Cricetulus griseus: one gene and its partner. The protein of the gene in region 2 purifies or fractionates together with the protein of the main gene of each other region. This does not show direct contact. Links are inferred from orthologs where the notes say so. Each region holds a gene or a part of one and is shown on either strand. Other genes may lie near its edges.

Region 1 (4,047 bases), on a different chromosome or scaffold from region 2:
AGGCTGAGGAGGTGGTCATCTGGAGGTGCGGCTGCCCCTGCTGGCCTGTCATTCTCACCCACTTCGTCCACTTGGATCCGGGGCACAGACATTCTCTAGTCTGCCCTTGTAGCCACACATGGGAGGTGGAGGAGGTCACTCAGGAGGCTTGCTGGGTAGCAAGGTCAAGTCCTGCTCAGCAAGGACCTCATACAGCAGTGGCCATGACTCCTGAAGGCATTGTTCGGATGGGAGTGAGTCTCACGGCTTGGCAGCACCTGGAGCCAAACAAGGCTGTGAAGTGTGCCTCTCTGAGCAGGTGTGGCTCAGGGTCTATGATTTGTCCCGTAATCCTGTGGGGCCATGTTTCACAGAAGGCAGGATCAGACAAGCGTCAGCAGGAATCTTTGGGGCGGCCTCCTCCGAGATCTATCTATGCTTGCCAGAGGTGTGCAGGTCGGAGGTGATGGGAATGCCCTCTTTGGGGGGAAGTAAGCCTGCAGGATGGAAAAGAATCATATCAGCCCTGGTCTCACCCCCCAAGATGGGAAACTGAGGTCCATGGACCGGGTTTCTACTTGCCAGTTCTTGGCAAGAAGTGAAGTAGTTTCACAGACTTCATGCAGAGCAATTGATTGAGTCAGATAGAGCTTTACCTTTTGTAAAACCACTCTACCTGTCTGAGCCCAGGGAAGCCCTTGCAGCAAGTTTAGATGCTTGATTTTAACACCCAATACACAGAGGAAGAATCCGAGTCTCCAAGAGGCCAAGTGACTCACCAAGATAGATCCCTCAGCAAGAAACAGGGGACAAAATCAGCTGGTCTGAATCTCAGGATATAGGTGTCTCCTCTGGGCCGGTCCTCAGAGGCAGCTGACTGGCCAAGTGGGACTCCGCACAGCCCCAGGACAGGTGTCTACTGCCCCTTAACCACCCTCACTCATCACAACCGCACCTTCCATCGGCACACAGCTTCCGGCTCCAACAACAACACCTGACCTCACCCCTTCAGAGGAAGCAAATAAAACGGCAGCCTGGGCAGGGAAGAAGCTGGCGGCTGGAGCTGGGCTGTGAAACTGAAGGAGACTCATGACTCACTCTTTTGGAAAGATGTTTCTCACGTTTACCTGGAGAGCCCACAGGGGAGCACCACCTTGCGAGGGATCTGGCTGTGCTCTGAGATGACCACCTTGGCTCTGGGGACGGGTGTAAGCCAAGACTCTTAGCCTATCTACAACAGTGTAGATAGAGAAGTTGCTGAGTGAGAAACAGACTCGAGCCTCCCAGCCTGAGCATCTCATGTCCGAGGAGATCTGGGCAAGGGCCCATCGGGGTAGGAGGCACATGACTTGAACTTGGGTTTGAAACATAGCTTTGCTGAGCTCTATACATGAACGAACTGAGGTGGGACCGGATCCAGGATAAGGCTCTGATGAAAAGCTATAGGCTCAGCCTCTTGGAGCACATGCTGCCCTTGTGTGGAAGGAGGAGGAAAGAGAGAGGTGTTTATTGACTTTGTGTGCCTTTGAAAACCCCTGACTTCATGGTGACACAAATCGGTCATGCTGCTTTTGTGCGGGCAGCATCCCCACATCCCCTAATCCCTGATGGTGATCTGCTTTCTATCTCCACACATTTTCTTCCTGAGAGTGCTCCATCATTCCCCCGCACAGGCTCAGCCCTCTTGCCGTTAGCATGGCACACTTGAGGTGTTTATCAGTATTTCATTCTACTTCATTTCTTGGCAAAGGGATGGAATACAATTTGTCTCTTCACCTGTTGAAATGCATGAAGCTGTTTCTGCATTTTAGGGATCATGAATAAAATCAGCTTAAGGGGTAAAGAAAAATACATATATTCCCGCTCAAAAAAATTAATTCAGGTGATACCTTATTGCAGTGACAGGTGGACAGAGATGAGGATTTAAGATGGGGGAGGTGCAGGAGCAAACTGGCAGGCTGGCCATTGAGGTGGGGGGAGGATGGTCCTCCTGACAGGCATGAAGAAGGTAAGAACACAGCTTTTTGCTCAGGACCACTCCTGCAAGTCTACGCTGCAGGGAGAGCTGACCAGAGCATCAGGGGCTGCTCTCCCCAGACTCCAAGCCTACCCTCCCTAGGACATCACTAGGGAATGAGGACATTCCACCCCACAGATAGCAGAGAAACCCAGTCTGATTTCTTGCCTTCTCTGGGCAAGTAACAGTACCTTGAGGGTCCTTGATCCCTCCCAAGTATTCTAAGCTCACTGTGTGGGCCCAGGGGCTTCCTCAGCAGCCACTCAGCTTCCCAGAAGCTCCAAGCACATAGCTAGGTAACCTTTAGAGATGCTGACCCTAGCTCTAGGCTGTCAGGCTAGCTGAGCCTCAGTCTGACTTTCTGTAAAAAGGGTTGATTGATACTATGCATCTATACCACGCATCTCTTCGTATATGCTCTCTGACTGTTAGCACGCTGGGAAGACACAGCAACTCTTGATATTCTGCCTCTCCAGATTCTTGTGATCAAACTTCTTCAGATCTCCCCACATATGAAAACCTGGGAGTGACTTCCTGGAGCCCCTCCCAGGCGCCTGCTGTCTGCTTTTTGTGCTGAGGTGCCAGCCTTCATTCTGAGTACACCCGGGGGCATCCGAACCCTAGAAAGCTTCCTTCCCCAGACAAGGGAGCTCTCGCCACACCCAGCAGAGCTTTTTGGAGAAAGTCCAGTTTGGACAGGCTGATGAGCAGCACCCTACTCACCAAGTCCTGGGAGGGACAACACAGGTGGGAAGGCCTTCCTACTCCTACGTGCTTCGCTGCAAAGGTGGGGGGGGAGGGGGGAGTGGAAGGGTGGCGGGGGGAAGTGGGAGGTGGGGGATAACGCTGCAAGGTCTCCTCTTGAGTCTCACTGTGTGGCTTTGTTTTAATTACTGTTTCTGACTCAGAGAAGGCCTGAAGAGGAGCTCAGTGAGATGACTCAGCCTAGGGGAACCTTTGATTCACTGCCTTCATGGTGCCTGTGAAGAACTGGGCACACTCTGGCTCTCTCCAGCCTCAGTCTCATCCAAGAAGCAAGCAGGAGAGCAGGGAGACAGGGAAGCACAGAGTTGGGGAAGGTGCGGTGCTTCCACGAGCTGGCTATAGGCCACTGCCAGCTGGGACCTGGGCACACAGTCAGTTTCTTTCTACCCAGCTCAGAGCTGGAAGGCAGCTGTCAGGTCTGTGTTCTGGACCTGTGGGTTGAGCCTCTCCATCCTCTTCTGAGATGTTGGTACAGCCAGAACTTGCACAATCTGCAGACTGGGCTCAGTGCAAAATGCAAACACTGGGATCTTCTTGGTTTTAAAAAGAAAAAGGTTCCTAAGCATTTCAGGGTGATAGCTGCAGGGTATTAACAAACTGAAGGTCTCTGTTAAGTGTGTAGGTCACTGAGGGGATCTGAGGCCTAACATGCAAGAGGCCTAGTTAAAACTACATTTAAAAGGTTGCAAAGTGGAGGGAACATACTGATGAGCCCACATTCACAGTTCCACCTCCACACTGAGCCGTCATCCATGGGCCCTTGACCTTTCCGGTGACCTGAATCATCTCTGCTCTTTCCAAACCTTCCCTTGGAAACCAAATGACCCAGGTGTCTGAAGAGGCCTGAGGGTTTCTTCCTTCCTCTATAACTAGGTGTAGGAGTTGGCCTGGAATGTTACCCACACAGGCCTGGGGAGGTGCCAGGAGAGAGGTTCACTCTCAACTGCCCACTTAGCTAACTCCATCCTGAGCTGGTAGCAAGTGCTGAATGGGTGTCTGTAACAGGTGCCAAATCTGGGGCAGCTTTTGGGTGGGCAGAATGGCAGAAGGGCCCTCCTGTCTTTCTTGATATACTAGGGTATTCTGGAGCCTGGGCTCAGGAAGACCCCTCTGACAGGCTGGGCAACAAGGCTTTTCAACTAACCTAGATTCTCCTGGAGCAGTAAGCACAGAGCAAAAGCAGAAAGCCAAAGGGCATCCTCAGACCTGGGGCTAGGACATCAGGAAAAAGGAGATCATCCCAGAATCCCACCAGGCTCGGGTATACTCCACATGACAGACACCCC
Region 2 (4,156 bases):
GGAACAGAAATTGTTTATTAATTTGCTTTTGTTCCCAAGCTAGGGAGCAAGCCCCATAATGACACATTGCTTCAAGTTCAGAGGAAGCCTAGAGTATACCTGGGTCCCATCTGTTTCAGGGGTGTAAGGCAATGCGGGAACAGATCTAGGATAAACAGACACACTAGAGGTAGCTGCGAGAGGCACCGCAGATTGACACAGGCGGCGGGGGGGGGGCCGGGGGGGGGAGAGACAGGTACAAAGTTCTAACTTGGAGAGATTAAATGCTTCAGAGGCAAGCAACCAAAGAGAGGACCCAGGGGCTCCAGTGGGAGGGTCTGGAAGGCAGAAAGGGCCAGCCAGAGAAGACACTCTCTCATGGGGGACACACTTATGGGACAGAGAGGAAGCGTGGGTGCTGTCGGGAAAGAAATTCATTTGTCTGGCCACACTATTTTGGGTCTTTGTCCTACAAACAGTGCTCAGATTTCAGTTTTGGGTAGGGCGATTTTAAAAATTGGGCACCACACACGTGCGGTAACTAGTGAAATATACTATATATATGTACAGATCCCCTCGCAGTAATACTGCTCTCAAGAGGGTTCGCTCTACCCAACTTACTGTGCCGGGACATTTTGCCTGCGTTTTAAAAACTCAGACAGACACAGAGACACACACGCACGCACGCATGCTTGTGTAACCCCAACCAAGTCATTAAGGCTCCGGGGACCCTTCCTCCGGTCGCTTCCTGCGCTGGGGTCGCCATTCCGCGGTCGTCTTTCCATCCATCATTTTGCCCCAGGCTCCACTCATTCCGGCTTCCAGACCCCACTGGCCCCGTTGAACCCTAAGCCCTGACCCTGGGGTCCACAAAGGGCGCCTCCTCCTCTGCGGAGGCCGGGGATGCTCTACATGGACCGTTTCAGCCGCCCGCTGTCGCCTGGAGACAAGCGTCTGCCCCGCACCGGGCCGACACCCTAATGACCACTCAGGGTGGGGCAGGGTGGGTGGGTGGGGTGGGGGTGGAATCCCAACCGTCGGGGCCGCTGGTTCTGCGGGTCCCGGGGCGCGTGCCCGGCGGGCGAGCGCGCGGCCAGCGGACCCCGGGGCCTCCCGGCAGGTGCCCCGCCCGCGTCTCGCGTGCGCACGGGCACAGGGCTCGGTCGAGCTCGGACGCGACGACCGAGACCCAGCAGAGCGGCCCCCAGGGCGGCGCCAGGCAGCCGCCGGCGGGTCGGTCGGTCCGGACCACGAGTCGTCGGGCACTCGCGTGCCGGAGCGCCGCTGGGATCCGGGGCACACGCTCTCGGCTCTGCGCTGGCTGCGCGGGCTCGCTCGCGTCGGCGACGGCGCGCGAGGCGCGCGAGGCGCGGGCGCGGGCGGGACGGCGTGCGGGCGGCGCCTAGGGGAGGAGACCGGCCCATGGACCCGCGGGGCCCGGCGCCCCAGACTCGGTGCCGCCGGGACGGAGCCCAAGATGTCGGCCTAGGCCCGGCCGCGACGACGGGGACTTGGCGGCTCCTGGACGCCGGGGCGCGCGGCCGCTGGGCCGGGGGGTGCTGGCCCTGACGCCGGGGGCGCACGGGCGGCGAGAGGCCGGCGCGTGGGGAGCGGGGCCGCGCGGCACCATGTCGGCCAAGGTGCGGCTCAAGAAGCTGGAGCAGCTGCTCCTGGACGGGCCGTGGCGCAATGAGAGCGCCCTGAGCGTGGAGACGCTGCTGGACGTGCTGGTGTGCCTCTACACCGAGTGCAGCCACTCGGCGCTGCGCCGCGACAAGTACGTGGCCGAGTTCCTCGACTGGGGTGAGTACCGTCCTGCGCTCCCCCCCGCTCCCGGCCATCGCCCCGGCCGCTTCCTAGACCCACCCTCCGAGTCTGGAGATCATTTCCTGCAGCGCTCCCTGGGACATCCGCCCGGCCTCCGCCCGGGACCAGCCTTTGGGGGGTCCCGAGCCGGGCCTGCGCTTACCCCTCCAGCCCGAAGCTCTGCCGGGTGGGAGGGCAGCCCCCGCCCGCCCGCGCCCGGTGGCCTGGGAGAGCATCGCCCCACAGCCCAGCCCCGGGGGCTCCACCCAGGTGACAGCCTGTCCACATCCCCGTGATGTCCAGGGCCTGAGCATCCCCTCGCCTTTAGCACCTCCAAACGCATTTTAATGCGAAAAGCTTGATTTCCAACCCACCGTGCAAGAGCAAATAGATACTCCCTCCCTCATCCCCGAATTAAAATCGTGTCAGACTCTTGTGATATTATTGGTGGTGGTGGTGGTGGTGATGGTGGGAGGCAACTGGAACTGTCCCTTAAAAACTTTTCTTCATCTGACCTTGGTATTCGGTTCATTTAGGGGTCGGATGCAGTAATCAGGTCGATGGATAGCCTTCAGTGTTTCATTAGGGCAAATGCTTGCTTAAGTCAGTCATTTATTGATAGGAGTTCCCAAGCCAGGTTAGAGACGCTTGCTTCAAACCTCCCTTACAGTCATTTCCCCTCAAGACCCCTCAGTTCCCTCACAAGGACTCGGTAGGAGGAAGTGAGGCTTAGTTAGGTTCAGGTCAAACTCGTAAATCTTACCCTCGGGTTGCTTTCGTCATTGGGCTAGGACTGTGCGGTTTGAACCAGTCGCTTCTAATCTTTGGGGCTGATAAGCTGATATTTACACGAGGAAACAAATGTGTTCCACATGGAGGCCTCCTCCTCTCACAGTGGTGACTGGGATCTAGAATTCTGTTTAGAACGCAAATTGCCATAGTCTTTAGAGGGCTTCCCTCAGGATGCTGTCCAGCGAGGTGTTGCTGCCTGTGCGTGAGAGCAGCTGCAGGAAGGACCCTGCCTCAGGACACTCTGGGGCTTTGTTGTGAAGGGCCTCTGCTCTTGGTTACACAGAGGGTTGAGCCCTTAGTCGAGCGTACTGGCTTTCCAGGGGAACTTTTATCAGTGACATGATTTCCAGTTGGGTAATTAACTGACTTCAGAGTTGCTTTGAAAACCAGGACTCTAGTGCATGCTGCAATCTGAGACTTGTCAATATTGTACTTGCCGTTCTTTTTTGAGCACTGGTTCTTGAAACCAGGCGGTTCCAGTCAGGTTCAGCTGGGTGCATAGCATGTGAATAGGGTAACGAGAGCAGGCAGCAGCACAGGGAAGAAGGCTGATTTCACTGATGAGGTGTGTTCCAGGTGTCCTTTGGCCTGGGACTCGCACAGTACCTCATGGGGATGGGCTGGAAGGCTGGGTGCTCACCACTGGGTGCCTCGGACTTCCCGGGAGGAAGCTTTCCTTGGCATGTGAAGAGGGCAGGTTTTGTAAGATCTGACCTTTCCAAATCTAAACAGAAGGTGTGTGCTATAATGTAAGCATAGTTTTAAAATTATGTTTTGGCCTTTGGAAATTGTGATTACAAATGGATTACCCTCTTAGCTCAGTTCCTGCATTGGTGTAAGCTCTAATTAGGAGCAAGCCTTGGGTGTGATGGCACACTGGTAATCCCAGCATTTGGGAAGCAGAGACAGGAAGATGAGGGCTTGAAGGTCAGCTTCAGCTACATGGTGAGTTTGAAGCCTGCACGGGCTACCTGAGAGACTGTCCCATAAACAACAACAAAAACCAAATGATAGAACAGATTGGTGCATTAAATATGAGGTAGAATTTTAATGAAGTAGTAACATGGTTTAGAGTGCCATGCGCCTTTATGTATATTCCTGTGTGTGCTGTTGTGACTTTGAGGTGGTGTGTCACCAGTAAAAGCACATGTGCAGTCATTTGGTGTGTTGGTGACAAGGCGAAGAATGGCCTTCCCATAAGACTGTTCACAGTGGAGGGGCTTCGGTTCAGGAAGCATCCGGCTTGTTGAGATTTGGGGCTCTTTGTTCTGCCTGTTTCGAGGTCTCTGACACATTGAAAGTGCAGAGAGCCAAGCCAGTCTCTTCCCCACCACACAAGAGTATCTGCTGACAATAGATAGGATTCTTGAGACTCAGCAAACAGCTGACTCAGCCCTTAAGAAACTTAAGGGAAACCTTTGAGGAAATTTGGGAAATAGAAGTAATAAAAAGCTTTTAAAATTTAAAGATTATTCCTGGCTCTCCGTGGCCACCGTGTTTGGGTTGGATGTATCACTGCAGCTTTCACTGTGGGGGCTCAACTTTACTTTTTTCCTCTGATTGTTTTTATCATTTGATT

Evidence for each region. Proteins that work in one complex are often made in the same cells at the same time.
Region 1: the proteins of Cdc42bpb (region 2) and Fam167a purify together in Homo sapiens (co-immunoprecipitation; 3 studies listed by BioGRID and IntAct, counting the BioPlex papers as one, with this or other methods). This does not show direct contact. The link is inferred for Cricetulus griseus from reciprocal best matches to the Homo sapiens genes CDC42BPB and FAM167A.

The regions. Positions count from the first base shown.
Region 1 is NW_023276807.1:218,479,221-218,483,267, reverse strand, and holds the start of Fam167a (protein FAM167A), read right to left. Parts: upstream 2,809-4,047; 5' UTR 2,720-2,808; exon of another isoform or gene 2,544-2,719; intron 477-2,543; 5' UTR 93-476; coding exon 1-92.
Region 2 is NC_048598.1:182,637,194-182,641,349, forward strand, and holds the start of Cdc42bpb (serine/threonine-protein kinase MRCK beta), read left to right. Parts: upstream 1-1,349; 5' UTR 1,350-1,607; coding exon 1,608-1,782; intron 1,783-4,156. UniProt on the Homo sapiens protein: Serine/threonine-protein kinase which is an important downstream effector of CDC42 and plays a role in the regulation of cytoskeleton reorganization and cell migration. Regulates actin cytoskeletal reorganization via phosphorylation of PPP1R12C and MYL9/MLC2.